2 linked regions of the Diceros bicornis minor genome follow. The protein of the gene in region 2 purifies or fractionates together with the protein of the main gene of each other region. This does not show direct contact. Links are inferred from orthologs where the notes say so. Each region holds a gene or a part of one and is shown on either strand. Other genes may lie near its edges.

The links. Proteins that work in one complex are often made in the same cells at the same time.
Region 1: the proteins of DNAJB6 (region 2) and MLF2 purify together in Homo sapiens (affinity purification with mass spectrometry; 3 studies listed by BioGRID and IntAct, with this or other methods). This does not show direct contact. The link is inferred for Diceros bicornis minor from reciprocal best matches to the Homo sapiens genes DNAJB6 and MLF2.

The regions. Positions count from the first base shown.
Region 1 is NC_080756.1:54,978,898-54,986,568, reverse strand, and holds the start of MLF2 (myeloid leukemia factor 2), read right to left. Parts: upstream 3,025-7,671; 5' UTR 2,935-3,024; coding exon of another isoform or gene 2,652-2,934; intron 2,307-2,651; 5' UTR 2,279-2,306; coding exon 2,229-2,278; intron 1,975-2,228; coding exon 1,848-1,974; intron 1,604-1,847; coding exon 1,568-1,603; intron 940-1,567; coding exon 886-939; intron 482-885; coding exon 353-481; intron 186-352; coding exon 26-185; intron 1-25. Other genes in the region: PTMS (parathymosin), read left to right, coding at 2,652-2,934, 3,025-3,215.
Region 2 is NC_080742.1:101,824,807-101,832,134, forward strand, and holds the start of DNAJB6 (dnaJ homolog subfamily B member 6), read left to right. Parts: upstream 1-4,314; 5' UTR 4,315-4,333; intron 4,334-4,609; exon of another isoform or gene 4,610-4,625; intron 4,626-7,328. UniProt on the Homo sapiens protein: Has a stimulatory effect on the ATPase activity of HSP70 in a dose-dependent and time-dependent manner and hence acts as a co-chaperone of HSP70. Plays an indispensable role in the organization of KRT8/KRT18 filaments.

The sequences.
Region 1 (7,671 bases), on a different chromosome or scaffold from region 2:
GGTGATGAGCGGGAAGGAGGCTCACTCTCATCCAGGTTGATATAGTCCTGCCGCTCCTCCTGGTCCCCTGTGCGGTGGTTTCGCGAGCGCTGGAGGATGTGAGCTCGGTCTCGGATGTGATGCCCAATGGACATCTGCTCTAGTCCGCTGTCTGAGTCCCGAACAGTCCTCCGAGTCTCCCGGATCTGAGGTGAGGCAGAACACAGCACACTCAGCTGCCCCTTCCAAAGCCCTGGCTGTGCCAGCCCAGGACAGACAAACCACCCACAACCCAATCCTGAAAAACAAAGCCAGGGTTTCTGTGGGTGCTGTTCAACCCCACCTTCTCTGGCCTAGAAGCCCTTCCACTCACCCCGCCTGGTGCTGAGCGCATCTCTGATGTCTCTTGGTAGACCTTGGGGGCACCATCACCAGTATTGGAGTAGGAGATGACAGTGGAGGATGAAAAGGTCTGGCAGTTGCCTCCAGCCGTCATGTGTTCCTGGGGAGGAAAGGGTACAGCAGGACTGAATGGGGAGGGGTTCCCCTCTGGAGAAGGGACCCCACACTTCAGCTGCCTATTCTTGCCCGTATCTTTCTCACAAAATTTGAGAACTGAGAAAACATCAAGACTCATCATTACCCCCAAATACCTCTGAGTCCACAATAAACAAGAAGGATCTTAAGAGATTGAGCCTTAACTGCATACTTAATAAGAGTGCTGCTGCTGCTTCACTCAGGCACGAGAGCACATACAGGAACCCAGTGCTCTCTGGGTTCAATTCCTTTACCCCGCTTGAACCCTTCACTAGCACACTCTTTCCCTCTCCTGCCTCAGAGGACTCAAGGTGTTGCCGGCCAGAGCTGAGAGCAGGGCCTGGAAAAGGTATGGGGCAAGAGTCTCACCATGTTCCCAATCATGTCGTTCATCATCCCAAACATGTCCATGAAGCCACCTGACTAGAGAGAGAGATGGAGAACAGTCAGGAAAGCAAAGTCAGCGTTCAGCTTATCTTGTTCAGGGACCCACTAGCTACGTGGCTGCATATTCCCTTTCTCTTCTTCCTTTACATCTAGCAACTGCTCTTTCTCATTCTTGGAGAACATGACCAGAACACTGCATGCTTATCTGCATGTTTCTCTTCTCCATACTGCCGCCCTCCTCCTCAGTCTTTGCGGCTGCTCGGATCCAATTTCCCTTCTCCTGACTGCCCTATTTCCCCCTATCTTTAGGAAGCAAGCCAAAGTTAATGGATTCTAACCTATAAAGGCATGAAATTGTAAAAAAAAAAGACTTCTAAAAATCATCTCAAGTTGGCCCTTCAACTTCACCTCCCTCCTCAAAAGAACAAACTTTGCTAGACAATTACATTTTCCTAATGGATATGGTTCCTAGAAGTATAAGAGTCAATAAGTTAGCATCTTTAACTCACAGGTCTTAGCACCCAGCAGGCCCAGAGCTCTGTGAACACTATAAAAAGATTCTAGGGTTACCCACAAGGCTATTTCAGAGAGGCACATTTGGAAATAACATCTAAGGGTATAGAGTATGTCTGAGATGGAAAGATATGAGGAGATGAGGACTCACCATTCCCAGCATCCCAAAGGGGGAGACAGCCCCAGCCTACAGGAACAGGTAAGGAACAGGAATTAGAGACCTCATCCTATCTTATTACAGTCCCAAACCAAGCCCACGGCTTCAGCTGTCTTTCTGTCCTCCTCTCACAAAGCCCTTTTCCCAGACCCTTTCCCCACTTCTAGAAGATCATTCCACTTGCTAAGTTGGCTGCAGTACAAGACAAATCAAGCGCTTTATTAACCACCCTCCAGCCTGTCTTTGGGTCTCAGGCATATCGCAGCACCATTACCTGCATCCTGCGGCTGGTAGGCCTGGTCCCTGGCATGTTGCCATCTGTGATGCTGAGGAAGGGGCTATATCCAAAGCCACCTGACAACATGCGGTTCATATGCTGACGGTGAATAGCAAAGGGGTCCCTGTGGAGTGAGTATACAGTATGGATGGTAGAAGGACCAAGTAATCAACACCCCGCTCACCCCCAAAAAAGAAAACAGTAGTAGAGAAACAATGGCACAGATGTCTGTATCCTCTTTAAGTCCGGGCTGGAGCTGAGTATCCAGCCAGTTCCAATCAGGGCCAGCAATGGGAACCCAGATGTCTGTCTGAATTACTCAGAGCCCTGAAGTGGAGTGGGATGAGTGCTCTAGAGCATGAGGGGGGGAGTACTTACATCAGGAACATGGGATCCTCAGGCTCCACGTCCCTCATGAAGCGGAACATCCTGATTTTAGCTCCAGGGGGCTCCACACTGTAAAGATGTGAAGGCTCAAATACTTGGAGGCGGCCAGGCTTTTTGCACACCGGCTCAGAGTAGGGACTCTCAGAACACTGTCCCTTCCCTATACTGTAACTGACCCCCTAAACTCCAGTAAGACCCTTCTCCAGGTGTTCACCACCACCCTCTAGGGAGAGAAGAGCTCTTCAAATCCCTCTCTCAAGGAGGGCCATGGAAAATTTTTTCAAGCCTCTCAGTTTTCTGCCTCCCCACTCAGAGCCATCCTCTTCCCGAAGCCCTAGGCCAGAAGCATACTGCCCCTCCCCTGACGCCACTGCTCCGGATGCGAATCCCCAATGCTGGCCCTCCGCCCCATTAATGACCCCAACCACCCCGCCCCCTCCTTACACCAGCCGCTCCCAGGCCTCCCCCGGGCGGGCCTCACTATCCCCACCGCGCCTGCCGGCGGCTCCCCCGACCCCTGCCTTCGCCGGGCGCACAGGAGAGGCAGGCCTGACCCTCTCCCCTCCCGGCATCCCGGGCTCCCAGACCCTGCAGCCCTGCAGGCCCGCTCCCGTCCGGACCCGGCTGCCCGCTCTGCTCCAGGCTCACCGGTCCCCGATTCGGGCTCAGCGGCCCATCCGGCTGGTCTCGCCTCTCGGTGCACTGCAGGATCGGAGGGCTGCGGCCCGGTACGCCGGATTGGTCCTGTCGTGAGCTCCTCGGCCTCCCGCGCCGCCTCCTCCCACAGCTGCCACCTCCGTCCCCCCCCTCGGCCCACGGAGCCCGAAGCACGGCCAGGCCCGGACGGAAGTGACGTCACGATGGGACAGCCCCCCCCCCCGGGGGGGGCCGGGCCGCGGAGCTCCGCCTCCTGGTGGGCGTGGGGAGAAGGCGAGGGCGCGCTCCCGGGGCGCGGGGCCGCTGATCCGGGGCCGCGGGGTTCGCTGGAGACGAGGGGAGGGGAAGCCTCGTTAGTAACCTGGATTTGGGTTCTGTGGACAGGAAGAGGCTCCCTGTAAGGGTGTGGGGGAGGAGCAGAGGCGTGGACTCCTCGGGCGGGCCGGGGCGGGGGAGGAGGGAGGGCGGTGCGGCACGTTCCCTTGGGGGAAGGAAGAGGACCCGGGGCAGATTCCCATGGGGGAGGGGCGGGCTCCCTGTGGGCGAGGAAGTGGGGCGGATCCCTACGGGGAGCTTAAAGCAGATTTTCTACCGGAGAAGCGCTCAGCCCGGGGAGGAGGAAGGGCGGCAATTTTGCGGGGGAGGTGCATTCTAGGCAGGGCGGGGTCCTCGGAGTGACGTAGAGGAGGAGGTGACAGTTCTGCCCAGGTCTAGCTCTGGCTGCGAGAACTCGGGATAGGGCAAGGAGAATCCAGTGGGGGGGGGGGGGGGGTACTGGCCGCCAGATGGCGCTCTTCGGCCAGGCTGGAACTCTAGCCCCTTGGGAACTGGCTTGGGAGAGGCTCCTGGAACCCTCAGTTACCCTGCTGTGAAGGGTCGGCCAGGGGAAAGGCTCTAGTTCTGAAATCCTTTAGTTTAGTGCCAGTCTCCCCTTTATTTTCTCTAACTCCTGTGTCCTCAAGAGCTCCCAGTCCTGCGCTGATCTTACTTGCCTCTAGTCAGGTAGGTAGGTCAAGGGTCTGAAGTTTGAGAGAAGAAGAAAGGGTGGAGAGCTCCATTAACCCGTATCACCCAGGGGCGGAGGTGAAAACAGACCCAGGAGACCTGACTCCAAGGCCAAAGACTGATACTTTGACATACTAAATGTCTTGCATAAAATCTGGCCCAGCTGGAGAGAAGGGCCTTCCTCCTGGGTGTCAGGGGATTTGGACTAAGATGGACTTTAAACCAGACTCATCCAACCTTTAGCTCTCTCTGGTTCTTTACTCTGGCTGCTAGCCATATTTATGTTCTGTGGAGCCTTACAATGAGAAAGACTTGTTCCCAATACTTCCCTGGGGGAGAAGGAGGAGGGGGTCTCTGGTGACTCAGGTGGGAGCAGGGCTTCTCAGGTTTCTTTGGAGATAGGGGAACAGAGACAGATAATTTAGAAACTGGCAGACTGGCAAAGCCAAAGAAAGACAAAGAATAAAAGAAAATTTGTTTTTCATTGATATTTTTGGGGAAAAGACGCAGTAAAGTCTTTCTGATTTATCTTCCAGATGCTCTGTCTCTGGAGATCCCACCATGCAAGTGCCCCTTTTTCTCTTGCCCCAAACAAAAGCAGTTTGACATGTGATCAAGTTACGCCAGTGAGAGTTCTACAGCCCAGGCTTAACTGTTAAGTGGAAGCTCAAGTTCCAGCTTCTCTCTTCTCATTCCATCATGTCCATCCTTCAACAGAACTGGACATACAACTTAGCTTCTAGCCTCCTCCTTTTTTTCTTTTTCCATTAGCTGGTATCCTCTACCTACTGCCTTTAGGTGCCTAAAGCCCTTTCTCTTCTTTCTTCCAAAACTTAAGACTCTGATATCAGCCATTTTTACCTTTGCATGATTTTAAATCAATGTATTACCTCTCCTAGGAATATTTACAAATTACAACTTAGCTTTCTAACTCTGAGACAAAACTCCAAACCTGGGCTTTGTCTCAGGTTAAAAAGAAATCCTTGAACAGGTGGGAATGAAGGAGGAGATGCAAGAGCTCATTGTCAGAGTCCTCAAGGACTTACCATATAGGCGGCCATCTACTCCAGGAATTGAAGGGATGTAATCATTCTGTTCCCCCAGAACCAGAGTTTGTGTCTGTCTTCCTTCTCCATTGCCCTCCCTTGTCTTTCCTTCCTCCCACCTTCTCTTTCTCCTTCCTTCCTTCCTTTCATCTCTGTCCTTCCTTTCTCCCTCCCTGCCTTTCTCTTTTCCTCCTTCCTTCCTTCCTTCCTTCCTCCCTCCCTCCCTCCCTCCCTCCCTCCCATCTCTGTCCAATGAACTCTGATGAACAGAAATTCCTCAGTCACTGGAATGTCCTGTAGATGATAAGATGTAGGAGAGAGAGTGGGCCCTGCCAGGGCTGAAGCTTAACACAAGGAGGATAAAGATTGTTGGGAAGGAAGAGAAACAAAGTGGTTCCTATATTCACTGCTCTATCTGATGGAGCCAAAGTCAGGAAGTCCTTGAGAGAGCAGAGCTGGGCCAGAAAAGGGGCCCTCTTTGGATGGGAGGTCTGGAGCAGTCCCAGGGCAGTTGGATACTGGAACAGAGTGAGGATGGGGCAGTGATGTGGGAGTTAGAAGAGACTGGATTTCCTACCTGAGCCAAAGTGAATGGGTGTGACTGAGTGTATGTGTGTATGTATATGTGCATATGGATTGGGGGAGGAAGAAACACCCTGAAAATTAGCACGGAGGTGCCTCAGGTAGAATGAGTGGGTTGTACAGTGGACACCAGATCAGAGTGAGTAACTCAGGAGAATTTTTTAAAAATAAGCTTTTCAGTTTGTTTTTATATCCACATCAACTCAACAAATATTTATTGAATTAGTACTTACTATGTGTCGGGTACTGTTCCTGGCTCTGGAGATATAGTAATGATATAGACAAAAATAAAGCGAGGTAGAAGGGGGAAAGAGGAACAGGCAAGCAGCTAGGAGGTGGTAGTTGCTTTTTAGGGTGACTAGGGAAGGCCATACTGATAAGGTGACATTTAAACAGAGACCTTAACAAGGTGAGGGATAGCTGGGGTGAGAGCATTCTGGGCAGAGGTATAGCAAGTGCAAAGGTCCTGAGTCAGAACTATGCTTAGTGTGTTCAAGGGCCAACAGAGAAGCCAGTGTGCCTAGACTGATATGAATGACAGAAGAGCAGTAGTAGAAGACAAGGTCAGAGAAAGAAGGAAACCAGATCATGTGGGACTTTGTAAGACCTACAAAAGGATCACTCTGGCTGTTGTATGGAGAAGAGAGTATTGGGGACAACAGCAGAAACAGACCTATTAGCGTGCTGTTGCCATAATCCAGATGAGACATGACGGTGGCTTAGAGTAGGTTAGAAACAGTGGAGGTGATGAGAAGTGGTCAGATTCTAGGTATGGTCTGAAGATGGAGCTAACAGAATTTGTTGATGGATGGATGCAGTATCAGGGAGAAGAGTCAAGAATGACTCCAAGGTTTTTTTGACCTGGGCAACTGAATGAGAAATAAATGACCATTTGGCTTGCCACACTGTACTGAGTACATATAGGTACTGGTTTGAGAATATATTGAAACTGTGTCTGGCTGGAAGATCCTGACCACGTGGCTACACAGGATAACTGACCCAGACAGTCTTACCTTTAGAAGCTAGCCACCTAAAATAGGAGGAGATGTGAATAACAGGAATAATAAGTGAATTCCATACCTAGTTTTACCATAAGATATTAGATGTTAGTTAGACCATCCTGGGTAGATATGCTAATGTTAATGGTTGGCATTAGCATTGGAGTTTTAAGTTGGAAGAACTTCCTGTTGTCCTTTGATCATTTCAAGAAGACATCCTGAAGGAGGCAGGATGTCTCATGATTAACATGGACGTGCAGGATTGAAGTTTGTGCCACCTGTGCGGTAGTTCATGTCAATAAATATTTATTGAGCTCCTACTGTGCACTCGGCATAGTGCTAGGTGCTGGGGATGAAAAGACAAGTAAGACATGGTCTCTGCCCAAGAGGGTTCACAGCCTAGTGAGGGTGCCCAAATGGAATCCATTATAATCCTGTGATGAAGGCCACAATAGAAAGATGTATGTTAAAAGGGCAAAAGTGTTCAGAAGACGGAGTGAGTGATTTGGGGCGGGGGGGGGGGGGGGGGGGGAGGCAGAGCCGGAGAGCATTCCAGGCAGAAAATGGGATCAATACAAGGGCACAGAGGTATGCCCCATTTGGGAAGAACTATGAGGAGTGAAAAAAAAACTGCTGAAGTGGCCAGCCCAGTGGCGTAGTGGTTAAATTTACGTGCTCCGCTTCAGCGGCCTGGGGTTTGCAGCTTCATATCCTGGGTGCAGGCCATGCTGTGGTCATCCCACATACAAAATAGAGGAGGATGGGCACAGATGTTAGCTCAGGGCGAATCTTCCTCAGCAAAAAGAGGAAGATTGGCAACAGACCTTAGCTCAGGGCCAATCTTCCTCACTAAAAAAAACACAAAACACTGCTGAAGCAAAACTTTTGAGGGAACAGTGGTAAGAGATAAGGCTACAGAGGTTAAAAGGGAACAGACCTTGAAGGGCCCTCTTTGCTTCTGGACTTTATCCTATAGGCCTGAGGAGGCTATCAGAAGGTTTTATGTAGGGAAATTACAAGTGTCTCTTTGCATTTTAGGTAGAAAGGCAGTTTATGCATTTCAGGAAACATGTTTGAGCTTCTACAATGTACCAAGTAGGGAGGTAGGTGCTGAAGATACAAAAATTCTTAAATCATGATTGAAAA
Region 2 (7,328 bases):
TCCTCCACCGCAGTCCCTGGTTCCTGCCCACCTTCCTCAGTTACAATTGCAGTAACTTTGGCAAAGATGCTTTTCTCCACAAAGAAGTCTTCACCTCATCATACAGTCTTTCCATCTCAGTCATTTTCTTCTGGACCTTGCTGATGCCCTTACCTTCGCATAACCAAAAAAAAAAGATTTTTCCTTCTGAAATAAGAACTCTGCTGCCACTCCTAGAACGTGGAACAGCTTTAGTTTTAAAAATAGTACACTTTATCTTTTTTTGTTTGGTCCTGGCCACCCTCGGAAACATTTCCTCTGTCTGGAATTCTCTCCATCCACGCAGGGCTTCAACTATTAACTCCGGCTTATCTTTCAAAACTCTTTCAAGATTGGCCTCTTCTGGGAAGCTTTCTCTGACCCCCTCCTCACCCCATCCTGATTTAGCTGTCCCTCCTCAGGGCCTGGGGCCTGCTGTCCTCAGAGCACGGCCATACAGCTCCAGACAACCCACAGTCCACGGGCCCTCTCCCTCACTGGATTCTAAGCTCCTCCAGGGAAGGAGTCCTGTCTTCTCTGACCTGTGCCTAGACCCCAGCATAGTGCTGGTATACAGTAGGTGTTCAATACATGTTCAATAAACGCATAAATATCCTTCTCATGCTTATTCCACAACTTTATTTCAACCTCTCACCACCTCACACCACACTGCTACAGAGTTCTGGACACACTTTGTCATTCCTGGTTTCAACTCTACAAAAATGATTTTATTGGTTTTGAAAAGTAATTATAAAATAAATATATTGTATATGTAATACAAAAGTTCAAACGATACAAAAAATCAGAAAGAACTAAGAACTACGTGAAATCTCACTATCTAGACATAAGCAACTCCAACAATTGACTGAATATTCTTCCACTTTTCTGTGTGTATATGTTGAAGTTGCAGATGCCTCTTTGGCATAAGGATTATTTTGAGCCAATTATTTTGGAGAAACTGCAGGTGCAGAAGAAGCTCTGAAAACAGAGTAGTTTACCCTTTTGTTAACGGAAATCTCCATTTGTAAGGGTGTCTTACTCTCCTTACCAGGAAGAAGAGGATGCTTCTAAATCACCAGAAACTCTTATCAATGGGGAAAGCAACGACTGAAATCTGCATGAGAACCTTACCCTTGTTTACTGTGTTTATCCCGATAGCATCCCTTAACTGGCCTCCCCTCACTTCGGTGGCTTGGGTGGTCTTCTGGAGGTTACCAAGTTTTCCTGGGTGTCTGCCGTGTGTACCTGAGGTACACGTGTTAATAAATTTGTATTTCTTTTTCTCCTTTATCTGTCTTTTATTATTGATATTCTCAGCCAAGAACTCAGAAGGGCAGAGGGAAAATTATTTTCCTCCCATACAGTGTGTGTGTGTGTGCGTGTGTATTTCACATACACATATGTATACACTCATACACAAACACACACATAAATGAATAGTTTTACAAATATGGGATCACATTACACTCTCTCAATAATGTGTCTTGGATATATTTGATGTCAGTAATTATAATCACATTATTATTTTTACGGCCTGCATGGTATTTCCTGGTAAGGAGGAACTGATTATCTGTAAAGTTGTGGTCAGTAACCTCACATGTACCTTTTTTTTCTTTCTTGTCCCTGCATTTATCGCCTTAGGGCAAATTTCTACAAACATTATCCTTGGATCAAAGGTCAACTTTAGTTTAATAAAATTCGCCATTCAGGAGCTTCTCCTGAGGATCCTGGACTCATGGATGGGCCTGGCAGGGTGTGTGTGTGTGCATGTGTGCCTGTGTCTACAGATTCCCTCATATCACTTGCACACTTTGCTGGGGAGAAGCTGGTACCTTTTATCAATTTTTCAAAGAGGCTGTGACACAGAAGAGCCATTATTTACTGAGTATTTCTGACTGCCAGGCACTGAGGTGAGCACATACAATTAACCTTCCCAGCAAGCTTATCATCCCCATTTTACAGATGAGAAAACTAAGTCACGGAGTCTCCCTACTCTTCTACCCATTCTGCAAGTCACACATTTGTCAGTGCTTGGCTTCTCTTTCTACCAGATGATGAGTTAAGCCCTTGGCCTCCACACAGGCTCAAATACTTCTCCATCTTTATTTCCATTGTCAGGATTTAAAACCTGTGCTATCGTCAAACTGATGCACTCACTCTCCCTAGGCTGACTTTGTGCTCTGGCACATTGCCTCTTTAATTCTCTGCAAACGCCTTTCACCCCAATTTAAATCCTTGCTGTTCCATTTTGAAGTGATCATCCTCTGAACTACAGTTTCCAGTAGCACCACCACCATCTGGGCTAACATTAACTTTGGAATAAATCCTTAATCTTATCTTGAAAGATCTTCTTTTTTTTTTTTTTTTTAAAGATTTTATTTATTTATTTTTTTCCCCCAAAGCCCCAGCAGATAGTTGTAAGTCATAGCTGCACATCCCTCCAGTTGCTGCATGTGGGACGCGGCCTCAGCACGGCCTGAGAAGCGGTGTGTTGGTGCGTGCCCGGGATCCGAACCTGGGGCCGCCAGAAGCGGAGCGCGTGCACTTAACCGCTAAGCCATCGCACCGGCCCTTGAAAGATCTTCTGTTCTTCCACAAAGAGCTCCTTGAATATTGCCACTTCAACTAACTTTCAGGGTGTTTATTCCTGTTCTCCCAGAATACCGCGTGGATTCCATCAGGGCTGGCGCCTTGTTTTCTACTAGCTGGTTTTTCTCATGATACAGCTCACTGCATTGACAGATGCTGTAATAAATTTTTTTTTTTTTTTGGAGGGAGAAAGAAAAAGTTATTTGTGGCTAGCCTACCACTTACTATTTAAAATTCATGTCTCTGCGCTGTCGGCATTTTGAGATTAGCTCACACTTGCTGTAGGGACTTATTTAAATGTGAAAAGTCACATGATAGTACTGTCAACACTGGAAGGGAAATAAAACCCCATCGACCTGCTGGCAGATGCCGTTACACGTGACAGCGCCAAACTCGCATACACCTGAAGGAAATTCCAGTCTCTGCTGAGATTATTTTAGGTTTTATCATGAGATGTCCATAGTAAAACCAAATATGGTGTTATTCCTTCCTTTTGACCAGGCATTTACATAACCTACTACAAAAAAGAAGAGAGAATTGACTCAGATTAAAAAAATTATTTTTTTCTGTTGCTAATTGGTCATCTGCTAAAAACTACAAGCTGTTAAGTAATACAATGAGGGTTTAAGAAACACAAGAAATGCACATACACAATATAAAGCCATCCTTTGTTCTGAAGTAGGAAAAACTAGAACCATGGCTATTAAGCCTTCCAGACGCCCACAATGAAGGTTATGAATCCGCTACCATACAGCAGCAGCGTTTAACACGTGTCCTCCTTCTACCCAAGTCTCCCAAGGGCTGAGGAGCAAGAACTGAGGCCTTGGTGGAGGGCTGAGAGGGCGCCCGGGGACAGCACCACGGCGGAGGCGCTCAGCGTGCGCGGGCACCTTCATTCTCAGGACCCGGGAGGGGAGAGGACAGACCCGCAGGGACACGTGCGGGGCCACCACCCGGGGACAGCACCGGGGCGGGGGCGCTCAGCGTGCGCGGGCACCTTCATTCTCAGGACCCGGGAGGGGAGAGGACAGACCCGCAGGGACACGTGCGGGGCCACCACCCGGGGACAACGGCGCCCGGGGACAGCACCGGGGCGGGGGCGCTCAGCGTGTGCGGGCACCTTCATTCTCAGGACCCGGGAGGGGAGAGGACAGACCCGCAGGGACACGTGCGGGGCCACCACCCGGGGACAACGGCGCCCGGGGTCAGCACTGAGATCCCGGCGGGCCAGGACCCCTCAGCACGAGGCCACAGCGCGCGAACCCCAAAACCGGTCTCGGGTTCCGATCCGACCAGCACTGCCTGACGCTCCGGCGTTCCGTCGTCGGGGCCTCGGTGACGGAGAAGCCGGGGACGGAGGCGGCACCCGGACCTCGGGTGAGCCCGGGACCGCGCCCCTACCCGCCCGAGTCCCGCCTCCCCGTGGGGCACGTCCGGGTGCACAGCGGGCACAGTTCCCACGGAACCAGCCGCGTCGGCACGCGCGTCGGCCCAACAGCCCGAAGCTTCGGGAAGGCGGGGCGGGGCGCGCGAGGCGCATGCGCGGCGTCAGGACGGGGCGGAAGTGGATGTCGCCGCGTGACGCACTTCCTGTTTGTTGTTGGAGAAAGGAGAGAAAGGAAAGCGCGAGGTGCCGCCGTCACCGTCAGCAGCGCCGTCGTGCCGGAGCCGAGGGAGACCGGGCCCCTTCCCGCCGCGCCGTCCCGCCGCCGGCCCCGCGTCCTCGGTGAGGGCCGCCCGCGCGGGGCAGGGGGCGGGCCGCGGACCTGACCCGGGCTTGGCAACGCGTGCGGTCGCCGGGCCGCGCCGGCCGGGGGTCGGGTGGGGGTCAGGCCGGAGGCGGAGGCCGGAGGTCGCGGGCCGCGGGCCTGGGGTGGGATCGGGGCCTGGGGTGGGGCCGGGGATCGGCGTGGGGGTCAGGCCGGGGTCGCGGCCGGGCACGGGTGTAGGGTCGATGCCGAGGGCCAGGGGTGGGGTTCGGGACCGGGGTCCAGACTTGCCGCGTCCCCGCGCCGGCGGTTGGGGGTGGGGCCGTGCGGGCGGCGGTCTGGGGGCCTCTCCTGCCCTGTCCGCCCGGGGCCGAGGCCGGCCCGTCTCGCTCGGCAGCGCAGGCCCGCAGCGGGAGAGGCTTGCTTTTTCTCGAAGGCCCCGCGTAGTTGACCCTGAAGCCAGCGCGAGGTGGGTTTACAGAAGGAAGGAGCCGGGGGAGGCGGCGTCCCCACACGGAGACGGGGACGCGGGCGTGGGGCCGGGTTGCCAGAGCTCCCCGCTGAGTTGTCGGAAGTTTGTTGATTAGCAAAATGCCTGATTTTCAACTCGCTACTTAAGCCAGTTTGCTTCGTTTTAGTTCAGCGTGTAACGCGGTTTATGTAAGTCAAGTTTATATCAGCTTTTGCCCGAGTAAGGAAAGAATGGACGCAAGAAGCGTACTTTGCAAACCTTGTGTCGTCTGGAAAAAGGTTTTCCCAGGTGGGACGGGTTGTGGTCAGGGACGTGAACTTCGGTGCTGCCCTGCTCCCGTGAGCTGCGGAACGGAAGTGCCCGCTGTGGAGACGGCCCCCCGGGGGCTCCCTAGGAAGAGTGGGCTGAGCGGCGCTCCTGGTATTTTTCAACGTTTTTAGTTCAGTTGTGGATTCGTAGTAAGATATTATGGCTAGAATCTTTTAAGGCAACTAATTGATTTAGTAGGAAAGTTAAAAAGGAAAGAGAAACTCTTACCATTTGGACTTGTTTGCTGATTCTTCAGGTTTAGTCATTCTTTTTAATAATTACACATAACAAAAATGGTTTAGTGATATCTGAAGGAATTATGTCTTCTCTCCGCCTCTTCCCCAGTCCCCCCCGCCCCCAGGTTCTTTCGGGGAAGGTTTAATCCAGACTTTTCTTGTTTCCAGTAAGAGACTTCAGCTCCCATGGGGTTAGGACTTTTGTATTTGTAATAAAAAGGTGAGTGCTGTTTGTGCACGTTATCCAAGGAGCTGTGGGACTTTTTGGATTATGCAGAATATGAATTTGGGGAGTAAATTGGCTGGGTGTCGTAGTTTGTGGGTGTGGATGACTTGACGGGAAGTGGGAGGAGAACAAAAGGGGTTGAGAAGCTGACTTTTGAAACATGCCTAAGTGTGCTTAGTGTGGTGCTGTAGAAGATGAGAAAGTTGGGGATTTAAGACCCTTTAAAGAATTTGAGATGAGTTCAGCGTCCTCTTCAAAATATCAGTGTTTACATTTGTTTTCTTCTGGATTTGAAAGTGGAAGATTTGGGAGGTATTTCTTGCTGCAGGACAGGCTTATCTGGAGGGCTGGATGGGGAGTACTGTTTGATTAATACTCTGAAGACTAAATGACGGCTAGAGAATTCTAGTATGATATCTGCGACCGGGTGGCATACAGTAGTTTTCCTTTTTAAGCAAACCCGTTATTTTTAAGGGTAGAAGCAAGAGTAGAACTATTAACTCTATTTTGGACAGTTTCAAACAAATACAACTGTGTACTCATGGCCACCATCGACAGGTTTCAACCTAGCAAACTCAAAAACCAGTTTGGGGTGGGATAAGTTTATGTGTATTTTTTCATTTTTAAAGAGGGCACTTTAAAACTTGGTGAATTATTTTTAATTCAGCTCTTCAGAATTGCAGTGTAATCTTGACTGTGTCACCTTAGTGGTGTTTCCCGTTACCTTCCACTGGGGTGCAGTGGGCATGACTGCGTGGTGAAGGTCAGCTGCGTTGTTGGTTAATGCTGAAGGGTGGCTACACGTGGCTTCTGATGTCTCTTGGTAAGGAGTACGTGAATATAGTCAGCCTTTATATCTGTAAGTTGATATTTTAACAAGTTTTTTTTTTTTTTTTTTGGTGAGGAAGATCAGCCCTGAGCTAACATCCATGCTAATCCTCCTCTTTTTGCTGAGGAAGACCGGCTCTGAGCTAACATCTATTGCCAATTCTCCTCCTTTTTCTCCCCAAAGCCCCAGTAGATAGTTGTATGTCATAGTTGCACATTCTTCTAGTTGCTGTACGTGGGACGAGGCCTCAGCATGGCCAGAGAAGCGGTGCGTCGGTGCGCGCCCCGGATCCGAACCCGGGCTGCCAGTAGCGGAGCGCGCGCACTTAACGGCTGAGCCACGGGCCGGCCCTTAACAAGATTTTTAAAAACCTTTTTTTCTTTTGTGTGTTTTCAGTTTCTTGGAAATGATTCTAGAATTTCGGATGGTGTTGTGTGTTAAAAATCTGGTTTGGGGGGCCGGCCCTGTGGCGCAAGCGGTTAAGTGTGCTCGGTCCGCTGCTCGGTCCGCTTCGCTAGTTCGCATCCTGGACGCGCACGACGCACCGCTTGTCAGGCCATGCTGTGGTGGCGTCCCACATAAAGTGGAGGAAGATGGGCATGGATGTTAGCCCAGGGCCAGTCTTCCTCAGCAAAAAGAGGAGGATTGGCATGGATGTTAGCTCAGGGCTGATCTTCCTCACAAAAAAAAAAAAAAATCTGGTTTGGTTTAAATTTGTGCAGGACACCACCTAGCTGTGAAAGGTTGGTAACTGCAGGCTTCCTAGTGAATTGGGATGGGATGGGGCACAAATGCGTGGCTTCTCTTTGGTGGATAGAATTTGAGAGAACTTCAAACTCGGAAAAAGGGAGGTAAATGAGAAGAAAAGCCAAGTTGATAAAAATCAGAATAGTGATAGAAATGATAATATAGGAATCTAAAGACAATTTTAAAGCGTAAT